3 linked regions of the Macaca mulatta genome follow. The protein of the gene in region 3 binds, or shares a complex with, the protein of the main gene of each other region. Links are inferred from orthologs where the notes say so. Each region holds a gene or a part of one and is shown on either strand. Other genes may lie near its edges.

What was found. Proteins that work in one complex are often made in the same cells at the same time.
Region 1: DR1 (region 3) and YEATS2 share a complex: the UniProt entries of both Homo sapiens proteins name them as parts of the ADA2A-containing complex. The link is inferred for Macaca mulatta from reciprocal best matches to the Homo sapiens genes DR1 and YEATS2.
Region 2: DR1 (region 3) and MBIP share a complex: the UniProt entries of both Homo sapiens proteins name them as parts of the ADA2A-containing complex. The link is inferred for Macaca mulatta from reciprocal best matches to the Homo sapiens genes DR1 and MBIP.

What each region holds. Positions count from the first base shown.
Region 1 is NC_133407.1:95,835,392-95,839,403, reverse strand, and holds the start of YEATS2 (YEATS domain-containing protein 2), read right to left. Parts: upstream 2,804-4,012; 5' UTR 2,594-2,803; intron 2,510-2,593; exon of another isoform or gene 2,377-2,509; intron 1-2,376. UniProt on the Homo sapiens protein: Chromatin reader component of the ATAC complex, a complex with histone acetyltransferase activity on histones H3 and H4. YEATS2 specifically recognizes and binds histone H3 crotonylated at 'Lys-27' (H3K27cr).
Region 2 is NC_133412.1:109,439,162-109,443,380, forward strand, and holds the start of MBIP (MAP3K12-binding inhibitory protein 1), read right to left. Parts: upstream 2,804-4,219; 5' UTR 2,661-2,803; coding exon 2,532-2,660; intron 1-2,531. UniProt on the Homo sapiens protein: Inhibits the MAP3K12 activity to induce the activation of the JNK/SAPK pathway. Component of the ATAC complex, a complex with histone acetyltransferase activity on histones H3 and H4.
Region 3 is NC_133406.1:146,925,384-146,929,590, forward strand, and holds the start of DR1 (protein Dr1), read right to left. Parts: upstream 2,808-4,207; 5' UTR 2,626-2,807; coding exon 2,406-2,625; intron 1-2,405. UniProt on the Homo sapiens protein: The association of the DR1/DRAP1 heterodimer with TBP results in a functional repression of both activated and basal transcription of class II genes.

The sequences.
Region 1 (4,012 bases), on a different chromosome or scaffold from region 3:
AGAAGAAAAAGAAAAAATCTGCTTCATAAGTCTTGTTTTCTGTGAGAAAACTGCATCAACTCCCACCATCTACTTTCTATCATGATAGAAAACAGACTGAAAGCAGAGCAGGACCAAAGGCAGGGAGATGTGGAACAATCCAAGAACGTGGCAACGAACATTCAAGTAAAAATCCATGGTTGATGAGAAGAGGACAGGACCAACTATTTCTGAGAATCTATCCTAAGGAAATACGGAGCAATGTACATCATACGTGGGCTGCACTCAGAGATCTACAACGTAATGTTAGTTCTCCTCTTCCTATGGATTTTATAATAAAAAATAACCCACCGCAAACTATCATGCATCCGCTGAATGAACATGAAGCATTGGAAACTGAAAAACATGTGGGGAGAGCTCTGAATGCTGTATGTCAAGCTACCTATTTTTAATATCTAAAGAACCTTTGACAATCAATTAGGAAATAACAAAAGATGCCAGAGAACAAGAAAAGAAATTCGCAAATAGCCAATAAATGTGAAAAAAATGTTCAAACATACTAGTAATCAATAAATGAAAAAAACACAAGACATCATTTTTCATCGATCCAGTTTAGTTTTGGCGCAGATGGAAATAGGGGCACTTTTTTTCTAATTTGCACTCATTAGTTTCATTTCCTCACATTCCATTAAACTATTCTAGTCTGGTTCCCACCTTCCACTTCCAGAACTATGGACAGGAAGACCAATGACCAAAACCAATGACCTCCGTGTTGCCAAATCCAATTGACAACTTTAATGAACATCTCAGAAGCCCTGATAAAAGGACCAATTCAACATCTTCCAGAAATATCTCTTTTGGCTGCCATGATACCAGCTTTTTCTCCTACCTCACTTGCTGTTTCCTGTGTCCTTTCCTCAACCTTCTTCCTCTGCCAGACCTACAGGTATTTGAGTGTCTGAGCCCCTTTCACTTCTTCACGCTTCCCCTCAGTGATCTCACACAGCACCATACCTTTGAATGTCATCTATGTACTGATCACTCCAATTTTTTTTTTTTTTTTTTTTTTAAGAGACGGTGTCCTGCCTTGTAGCCAAGGCTGGTCTAGAACTTCTGGGCTCAAGCGACCTGCCTCGGCCTCCCAAAGTGCTGGGATTACATGTGTGAGCACTGCGCCCAGCCACTCCGATTTTTATCTCTAGCTCTAGCCTCTCTCTTCCTTGAGTTCCAGCCCTCTACATCCAACTGCCTCAACACACCGACTTCATAACTAATAAGCATCTAAAATTTAATACATCCAAAATAGATTTCGATATTTTTCCCACCTCAAATTTCTCTCTTCCATTCTTCATCTCAGTAAACGGCACCACCATTCACTCAGGTGCTCAAAACAAAAATCAAAAAAGCAAAGACTCCCACCATTCCCTCACCAATTCATTTCCAAGTCTTGTTCATTCTACCTTCAAAACACTTAAAAATCTGTTTACACTTCCCCATCTCCCTGCCATGGGCCTAGTCTAAGCTACTGCAAAGAGCACAGTAACTGACCTCGTAGGTTCCTCCCCAGCCCTCTTCCTCTACATAGCAGTCGGATTATGCTACTCGCCTTCTCAAAACCTTCAAAGGTTTCCCGGAAAAACTAAACTCCTAATCAGAGCATCATCTGCCCTATCTTTTAAAGAGTATACACAAACAGGAATATACATCCAAGGGTAATATCTCTAGACCGTAAAACTGCGGGCATTTTTCTCTTGCTTTGCTTGTATTTTTAAATTTTTCTACGCTGAATACTCTCTACTCATTAAGGGGAAATGATATTGCTGAATACTATATGATATTATGGCGCATTTTGTACATGTGAGCGAGAAATGGAAAACGTGGGTCAACTCTGTAACTGCTGAAGGCTTAGATGAAAATACTAGCAAACATCAAACTAAAAAAATGATGTGTCAGGCCTATAAGATCGCTGATGGCATTTCTCTTTCTCTGCTTTCCATTTCTTAACATAATCACATTCATGATGGGGAGAACCTCATTGTCTTCTGCAGTCTGGCCACAGCCCTCCAAGCCAGCCTTTCCTGCAGGAGTCCTCACTTTCCGAGGCTTCCACTCCGCCCCGCACTGCCCGCAGCTCCGGCGCGTTGGCCCCGGCCCCCTCCCTGGAACCCCAAAGCCTCTCTAACCCCTCCCCTCCATCCCGGGAGGGCCGGTGGGGATGGCGACAGGTTGGAGGGGCATTCCAGGATCCTTTCGGTAAACCCACGACTTTCTGGTCCTGGGGCCAAATCTTGCCTCCAAGGCCAAGAGCTTAACATCCCGAAACCTCCGGCCGCTGAGGCTCGGGGACCCGCATCCCCTCAGCGGAGCGCCCCGCTGAAGAGGAAGCCCCCAACTCACGTTCCGATTCCAGGCTCCCGCTTCTGCGGCTCCTCGGCCCGCACCTGGGATCCTCCCTGCCCTCCCCTCCGGCCCGGGGCCTCACCGGGTCCCGCCGCGGCGCAGCCGGCCGATGGGGGAGGGGCGCGCACGTGCCCGCGCCGCCCCCGCCCAAACAATGCCCCAGACAGCAGGGCGCGCGCCCGCGCGGTCCCTTCCTGCGCCCGCCAACACTCACCCTTTCTCCGGGTCTCCAGCTGCAGCGCGGCCCCGCCGGGCGCCGCGAGAGGGTAGAGCGAGGTGAGGGAGCGGGCGAAGCCCCGCGGAGCTGCCCAGCCACGAAACCCCAGCGACCCCCGCAGCCCGCGGAAGCACCCAGATCGGTGGAACCCGCCCGACCCGTTCCGCCCCGCACGTCAGCAGCCGGGCGCGTCGGGGCGCGCGCGGCGGCGGTGGTGGCGGCGGCGCGCGCGCGCGGCCTCGGGGCGGAGCTCGCAGGGATGAGGGCGGGGCGGGGCGGGGCTGGTCCAGGCTGCGACCCCGGCCCGCGAGGCCACTTCCTGGGCAGTGTGGGCGTCGATTCTCGCAAAGGCGTGGTTGTCCATCACTTTTCTGCCCCAGAAGGTGGCGAATTTCAACCCCAAGTTTGACAGAATATTCATTCTGCCGGTATGTATGAGCTTCCCTATTAATTACAATAGTAACAATGATTTTTGTGTGTGCCATCTTTGTCCCAACCCATGTGCTAAGTGCTGCGTATACAAATAACAGTAGTTATTGCTAGCCCATTTTACAGATGAAGAGATTGAGGCAGGGAAGGCTTGAGACTTATCCCAGTCACACTAGTGACAATCCAAGTCCAGTTTTCCATCTAAATATCTCTTGAGGCCAACATTCTCTTTCGTTCTAACTCTACCACCCTCTACCCAAGACCCTGTCATCTCTCTGCCCAGGACTATAAATAGCCTCCCAACTGGTCTTCGGGGATCTTCTGTTCCCCTTCAATCCCTCCTCACTGTATAAAGATTTACTACTGGAGCTGATTTTTTAATACTTTACCTACATGTTATCAAATTTTTATGTATTTAATGTTTTTATCTACACATAATACATGTAAATGGTGTTTTGTTTTTTGTGGTTTTTTTCTTTTTTTTTTTTTTGAGAGAGTCTCCCTCTGTTGCCCAGGCTGGAGTGCAGTGGCATGATCTCGGCTCACTGCAGTCTCTGCCTCCCTGATTCAAGTGATTCTCCTGCATCAGCCTCCCAAGTAGCTGGGATTATAGGCATGCACCACCACGCCCAGCTCATTTTTGTATTTTTAGTAGAGAGAGGGTTTCACCATGTTGGCCAGGCTGCTCTCAAACTCCTGACCTCAGGTGATCCACCCTCCTCAGCCTCCCAAAGTGCTGGGATTACAGGCATGAGCCACCACCCCCAGACTAATTTTTTTTTTTTAAAGACAGGTCTGACTATCACCACAGCTAGTCTCACACTTCCAGGCTCGAGAGATCCTCCTGGATGGGCGTGGTGGCTCACGCCTGTAATCCCAGCACTTTGGGAGGCTGAGGCGGGCAGATCACCTAAGGTCAGCAGTTCAAGACCAACCTGGCCAACATGGTGAAACGCCATCTCTACTAAAAATACAAAAATTAGCCAG
Region 2 (4,219 bases), on a different chromosome or scaffold from region 3:
AATGAAGATGAGAACAGAAGCATTTAGAAGTCCATATTAGACAAGCGTAAAGATACATGAAATTTCATGTAGGCTGCACTGGCAAAGATTATAATATGTTAAGATTTTACGTTAAAGTGAATGCATTCATTTACATTATTTTAATTCCTATAAAGATTTTGTTAGACAACAACCTGTATTATGTATGGAAGTAACCTATTATTGTACTTTCATAGTCTTCAAAGAGATCTACAGTTGATCACAGAAAACTTAAGAATACAGCTTGGGGATAAAGCAGGCAAATCCTCAACCAAAGCAAAGTATCACATTTTCTAGAGAAAATAACTTATAGAAAAATAAGTCTTAATGTTTCGTTCATAGTGTCATTTCAATTCAGCAGAATTACATAAGCTTCAAGTGCAATTAAGAATAACTGGTCTTTTAAGAAACTCACATAATAATGTCACAAATTAATTTAAAACTATTCTAATACACCTAACTATTCATTCAACAAATTCATTATTAGTAATATGAATTCTATGCATTTTGCCCTACAGAACTTGGAAGAGTAAACCATTCACTCGAAAATCTCTATTAGTCTGCTATTAATATAGACTATTTAAATAAATATTTTCAGTAAACACTTTACTAAATTAATACAAAAATCCAAGCTAAAAATAAGTAAGTGTTTAGCTTGGTAAGATGGACCATCCAGAGGCAAGCAAAAAGGTTAAAATTAGTAAATTTTGTGATCTTAAGTAAAAAATTCTTTTTAACATTCAGTTTTATGTTTCCTACTGAGATCTAATAATACAATGATACTTAGGGATGACACAGGATGAAGTTAGGCATGTTACAACATACCTTCTAGAAATCTTTTAAAGTGGTTGCAAAAGAAAATACTGATTTCTCTGGGGGCAATTTTGCAAGTGTGGAACTCTGGCTTTCACTCTTAATACTTCTCAAAATATAGAGTATTATGAAAACAGTTTGCATTTAACTGATGAAACAATCATATTTTTGACACCTGTATAGGAGGTCCCTTCACTGTGTCATGGTAAAGTAACCAAATATTTACTGTCAACATTTTTGACAGGTGACACAAATAAATTGTAATCGCTTCTTTACTTGTAGAGTACTTGAATGTTTAAAATTTTCTAATGAGTTTGAAAAATTCAGTATGCTAAATGTTTCAAAAGAAACGTTTAAATCATTGCTCAGTATTTTTAAAAAATATTCCATCTTCTGTTAATAGGTGAGCATAAACTTTTTTCATCTTGACATTAGAAAATAAACAAACTTAAGTTCCAACGTCGCCATAAAAAGTTCTCTAACTTTTAAACCATTTAAAAGGTCTTGGGTCTTAAGACTGGAATATATAACAAAACACCCCAAGCCTTTAAAAAACGATTTCGGTAAGCACTTGGCAAACAACTGAATTTAAAAGTTGTATCTTTAAGCAGACTCCATTAATAATTGCGTCATTACATAAAACCGTTTAACTTACAGTAATGTTCTTTGTAAGACACAACACACTATGATTTTTTAAAATAGTAACTTTTTAAAAAGCTGATTCTCCATCTACTCAAGGCTTTAAAAATAATTTTCACAAATCAGACAAATGTTCTATTTTCATAAGAATTTACCATTATCTTTGACACAAATGCCTGCCGTGTCCACATGCGCTAGTGCCAGCCTCAAAACAAACTTTTACGGCTAGAAAATGGTCTATGTAAGATAGAAAATATTTCCTTTTAAAAGGCAGGTAAACAAGCGTACTTTTAAATTGTTTCTCATTTAAAACTTGCTTTTAATTTTACACCGTGAAACGAAACAGTGACTTGATCGAAGAAGCCCACTAAATTCAAAACCAATTTTACTATGGCATTTCTGCAAAAGCGATTTATCAGTCAGTTAAACTAGTTAATAGTTAAATAACGACAGTTCTAAACGCAAACAGCATCAACGATGGATAACTCATCCAACTTTACGCTAGAAGTATTTTAAACGAATTCCTTTTACTTTCCTCCCCATTTGAAAGGGTTATAGATGCCCAAAACAGCCCCAAGGAAAAAAGAAATAAACAAAACCAAGTAACTCATAAGAACAAATTACTCCTTCCCCCCGGCCAAGAAAAAGCTAATAAGCGCGCGCTTTTCTATAAATCTCAGGCCTACTGACCAACCAATTCCCATAAAGAGTAAGTTGGAGGAAAAAGGACCCTGAGCGCTAGGCGCCTCCTAAATTCGCAGTGAAGCTTTTCCACATTCATTCTCCCCAAGCCTGCCTCTTTCGGAGCCGGGTTTTCACTTAGACCAACCTCACCCACTCTTGGAGAGGACAGCTGCAAGGTAAACTACTCGGCTACGGGTACCGCCGTCCTCCTCACTCCGAGCGAGGCGGCTGGGCCCGCGCTCCTCCCCGACCTCGGCTTCAGGGACGGCATCCCACACTTCAGCAGGCCTAGCTGCCCCCGGCCCCTGCTAGAAGAAAAGAATGGAGGGATGGGCCGGATGGCTTCCATATTCCCAGTCCCTCCGGCCACCTCTCACCTGTCCAACCAGGGTTTGTAGGGAGCGAAAGATTTCGTAGAGCACCTCTCGGGAGAGGCTAGGGCTGCATCTTCGCTCCAGGCTCCTGTCACCGCTGTTCGGGCGACTAAGCTCCGTGGCAGCAGCCATGATGCCTTTTCAGGCCGCCCCACCACCACCACCACCACCACCACCACCACCACCACCACCACCACCAACACCACCACCAACACCACCACCAACGTTTGCTCACAACCCCGCTCCCTCCCTTCCAGCTTTAGTCGCTTGGCGATGACGTACGACACGGCGTCTCGTTTAGATCAGGCTTTGAGGCCCCACCCTCTCTATGTGACTGACAAGCACGTTACACCAATCAGTTGCAACTGCGACATTACGCCGAGGCTCTGAAGTGGGAAATTGCAGACCAAAGCTAGGCTGGAAGGCTATATTTGAGGTGGTTATTAGCGTTGTGGTCTGTTTAGCGTTATGAAGCCTACCTTGACTCCCAGATGTTCACTGTGAATCTTGGTAAGAGGAGACATAGTTAAATTTTGTAGTTTGAGTCCCCAAATTAAAAGTTGACATTTTAACATGGCGGTGTGGAGTGGTTCTGGAGGAAGCTTGCTGGTCAGGGATGGAGTGGTGCCCGCAAGTGTTTCTAAACACTGGAAAACTCACACGGAATTGTCATGGTTGGATAGAACATTTTCATCTCTTCAAGTTTTAAGTTGTTGTTTTGGAGGCAGAGTCTCACTCTGTCGCCCAGACTGGAGTGCAGTTGCGCCATCTCAGCTCACTGCAACCTCCGCCTCCCAGTTTCAACCTGCCTCAACCTCCTGAGTAACTGAAACTACAGTTGATATTCTCCATTATAACTGTAGAGACTCTTAACCCTAAAATTGTTTCAAAGAAATGAAACACTGTCAATATAATCCAACAGGAATTTAACCTGGATAAATAATATGCAACCACAATCTTTGAAATTAGGACATAAAACCGAATTGAAATTTTACAAAGTATTATTTATCATAATAGCTTTATTATAAAGATGTTCGTGGGGTTTTGTAATCTTTTAGTCAGACTCCAATATTTTTAAAAAGTGTTATCCAATTTTAAAAAGTATTACAAGAATTTTTAGTGTCAAATTTTATTCAAAAACACTTTAAGAAATAAACATCAGCTGAGAGATAAGGAAGGTGGGATTTAAAACTCTTCATTCTGTTAATAGTCTAATGCATTTACAGTAGAGAAAGCAAAGGTGGAAACTTGCACAATGTGTATTCTTTAGTTTTAGGGTAGACTACATTAAAGGGAAGGACTAACGCATCGAGGAACTAGGATAAGGACGATGGAGATAAAAGAACTCCTTTGACCTGTCCCTAGGGAGTCTCTTAATTAGGCTTTCATTTCCAAAGACAAATGGGATCACCAGGCTTGACAGAATCTTGGAAAATCTTTTCTGTTCCCTTGTTGGCAGCAAGATATACAACTGATATTCCAGCCTATGTCTACAGCCAGAAAGATACTTCGCAATGTCCAATCTCAAATTGAGCAACCTTCTTATTCAAGCCACTCATCCCCATATCTAGCCTAAATTCATGATTCTTTGCCATGTTAGCATGTTTTGTTTGCTTCTGGTTCTCTTGTTAATAGAGAATAATTGTAATGGGGTAACTGTAGGTTTTTGTTCTGTACCAAATTAGCAATCA
Region 3 (4,207 bases):
AATTTTTTTAAACTAAGTTATTTAATAGATTTACTGGTGATCAAATTGGTTCAACTTTAACTTGCATTTTACAGAACTATCTCAGAATGCTTAATTTGTTCAGACAAGATAAAGCAAGGTGGGAAATGAACAAGTGAAATGTCCTAAAGCAAAGTCCAGTTCATTAAACTTACCACTAAAAACTCAAACTTCAACATGTGAGAATCATACCACTTTAAAATGTACATTATTTATTCCACTTGGATATATTCTACATTCCTAATCAATGCTGACAGAAAAGTATAAAAATGTCCTATCTATTATGATTAGTGTACAGGAACACACTTCAAACACCTAAAACATATAAACCTTAAGAATTTCTTTAAAAATTTAACCTCTCAAAACAAAACTTCTTTGGAATAATTAAGCAATATGAGATTATAAATGTATAAAGTCTACAACCCCAATTAGGGAGAATTCTTGGGCGAAAATGTAGATTCTTATCCACCTAACAATAGCATAATACAAAAAAAAGAGGTAAAATTTTAAGACTATAACACGTCAATACATGATTTTCAAAAACAAATCATCTTCATTACACAATGGAAATGCTTTTTCACTATAGCTTTCTGACTCACACATTAAACTGAATTTAGCATATTCCAAAGTTGAATTATTTAGCATACTGCTTGCTACAGCTGCACTTCTATTCCATCATGTCAATCAGAAATCTAAATATATCCTAGAAAAGAATTAACTCTCCCCAAGAAGACAGACTGTAATGTGTTATTAGGTTTTTGGAACGATCCCCACTTCTGTAGTGTAAACAAATATTTAGGCAGACCCTGTTGAAATCTTTTGCAATTTTCATTAGAAAGGCAATGTTGATAAAAAGTTCTTTTTCCTTTTTATGAGTTGTAAAAAGAAATTACAGCTATCTGTGCTGGATAATCTTGTGAAAGACTTATGACAGCAATCACACATACAATGTAAAAATAAATACACAAGAGAAAAAACAGACAACTTGGCTTTCATTTTACTTGCTAGAGTATTCAGCACATCAAGTAGAAAAAAAAAAAAAAAACTAGTACTAGTTTTAAGAATCAAATATGCTTTTTCCTAGGGATTTTTCTCCTTATGTACTGAAATGGCAGGATATATTTTAAAACTACTTTCAAGACGTCATAAAGGATTAAAAATCAATCATTTAATCCTTTTGTCAATACTGACAGTAAAATATTGGATATGGTCAACATAAGCAGATGTGTTCTCTACTTCAGTACAACAGGCAAGTCACATTTTAAAAAGTTAAAGTATAAAAATTAAGTGACAGACAACCACCTGCCTACCAAAATGATTAAAATTAACCATTTTTTCCCTGGTTTCACAAGCAATCAATACTTTTAATTAGATTATTACGAAAGGCAAGTTCTCACTTCAAATTGAGAACAACTCTTTCACAAGAGTACATGTAAAAATATCGCAAAAGGTACATTCCCGAAACATTATGACTAGTAAATATGTTTCTCCTCTCTGAAACCATTAGAATACAGTCCCCCAAATCCCTATTACGGGACCACAACCTTTTCAGGATAAAAGAAACTGTTGAAGCTTTCAGAAGTGCTGTTCAATAAAAGCCTAAGTGTATGCATCCAAATAAGAATGACAGCAGGAAAGGACGGGGAAATTTTCCGTTTAAAAAAAAAAAACTTGCATAAACTTTCAATCAAAGATTTTAAAACTTATCTCCACAGAATAGAACAAAGCAAACGACATAAAGGCAAACAAAAAGAAAAAAACAAAAATTTAAAGTTCACCCTTTTCTTACAGAATGGACCAGGAGTGCTTTCGTAACTCATTCATGAACGTACCATCAAACCATTTTTAGAGCAGAAAACATACCTCCTTTTATTCAACAACGATAAACTTGACAACGTTGAACACATTGTATATTAAGAATTTTTTAACTCATGTGTTCAGAAAATAAATCTTTTCCTCTACATTGGTGAAAGGTCAGGTGGGGAAGGGGCGCTCTGTCTCCATCCATACTTGAAGTTCCTCTGTCTGAATTTTTAATTTTCCAAGGGAGAACTTCTGCGTTCCTTAATTATTATCTAAGTTCAACTTCAGGCAAGCAATTCCTGTTGCTTCGGCTTACCTGGCTGTAAAGTGAGATCACTCTTTATGTTTTGGGGACGTTGACCTAAATGTTTGCACTCCTTACGTGTATTCGCTAGATGAAAAGTACTGCAAGAATGCTACAAAGGGATTGTTTTTAAAGCACGGGCTACCTACATGCCAGTCTGGCTTTTTCATTAAGTTACTTACCAGTGAAGAGGAATGAAGGCTTTGACATGAAAGCGTCACGCGATTAGCAGACTGCTCCCCTAGACCCTCATTCAAACCAATTTCCACACATGACTTACCTTGTATGACATGTTCTGGTGAGATGGTCTTCTTTTCCGATTTGTTACAAATCTCATTGGCTTCAGAAGATATAAGGTGAATGAATTCAGTGCAGCAGTTCACCACCAGCTCTCGAGCATCGTTGGCCACCCGGACATTAGGAAGAGTCTCTTTGATCATTTTATTGATAGCAGCTCTGGGGATAGTGAGATCATCATCGTTGCCAGACGAGGAAGCCATAGTACCTTCCTGTTTCTCGCGCCCCGGCTTTTAAAAACTCCCCGGCTCTGGTCCACTACTCCACGGAGATCTCTCAAAAAGCCGCCCTCGGAGAGTGATCCCGGGGGGTGCTTCGCGAAGAGGGTGCAGAAAATGAACGGAGGAGGAGCTGGCTTGAGGGCTGGGAACGCTCGCGTGTGTGAGAGATTTAGGATGAGTTTGGGAAGAAAGTGGGGGCCTGAGGATTCTAGAGAGAGCACAGCCCAGGCTGAGGGGAAAGCGCGGTGGTCCGGAAATTTGAGCGGCTGGGGAACCACCTTCGGGTCTCCTCAGAGGGGCGGGCACTGTCGCCTAACTGGTCCCCAACGGCGTCGAAGAGGCAAGATCCAGGGGCACTGGCCTCGCCGCGGTACCGGGCGGGTACCCAGCGGGCTCGGCTCTATAGAGCCCGAGGCCCCGCTGCCGCTGCCGCCGCCGCCAGCAGCCGTTGCCGCCGCCTCGGCCAAACCATCCTTCAGACACCCGCGCCGCCGCCTCACAACATGTCCGCCGCTGCCGCTGCTGGAACGGCGACGGCCGCCTGGGAACTAATATGGACAGAGCCAGGCACAGTGGGAGTCGCAGTGGCTGCCACCGTGGCCGCGTAACCCGAACGCAGATCCTGGAAGCCGAAGCGGCGGCAACGGTGGTCCCTCCAGAGGCCAGGGAAGATTTGCAGGAAGCCGCTCCCGACACCCTTTGCGCCGCCGGAAGCTTCGTTCCTCAGATTTCCCCCTCCCTCCCGGACCGACTTCCGGATGTGGCTGCCGCCCTTCCCCCACCCACGCTGACGGGAGCCGCCCGTTCCCGCTGCCAGCAGCTTCCGCCTGCTGCGGTCCTGGCAAGCACCTCGGGATCCCATTCCTTCACAGGGGCCCTAGCCGGGCAAGCGCGCGCGTCACTGTACCGGAGAGCTCCAAGCACGCGCTTGGTCAGGGGCCCGGACGCTAGATCTGGGAAGGGGTGGTGGCTGGCTAGATGGGCGAGGAAGGATCGTCTCTACCCTCTCTCCAGCAGCTGAGGCCTCCGAACCCATCCCTAGCCGGATTTGGGGACAGAGGAGCGCTGGTATTGATAAAAGAACTCTCTTTGCTATTCTTTTAGGAGCCCAAATGAGGATTGAAAGTGAGAAGAATGGGGCCTGGGCTTGGGAGTGGGAGGTGGGGAAAGCACAGAATCCCGTGTGCCTGTTTCTGCGTCGTCTGGAGAGAAAGCTTTTGAAGATGTCTAATAGACCTTATTCGGGTAAAAGCTCTCTAAAGTCCTCCACCTTTTTTTTTTTTTTTTTTACTGCATGGAAAATGAAACAGAGAAGTTACTTGCCTAGAGGCGACTAAGTCGCCTAATAGATAAGGAGGAAAGTAGAAGTCAGTTCCAACGTAGTGGAAATGCATGGCGTACAATGAGCCGTATTAGAAGGTTCCCATTTAGACAGTTTTCATGGTGTATTCCATGTTGGCTTCTACAGGGGAAAAAAATGTTAGAGCATCTTAACTGTTTTTGCTTCTTTCCATAGTGACTAGTAATATCAACAGGTGTCAAGATCTAAACAGAAATTGCATTT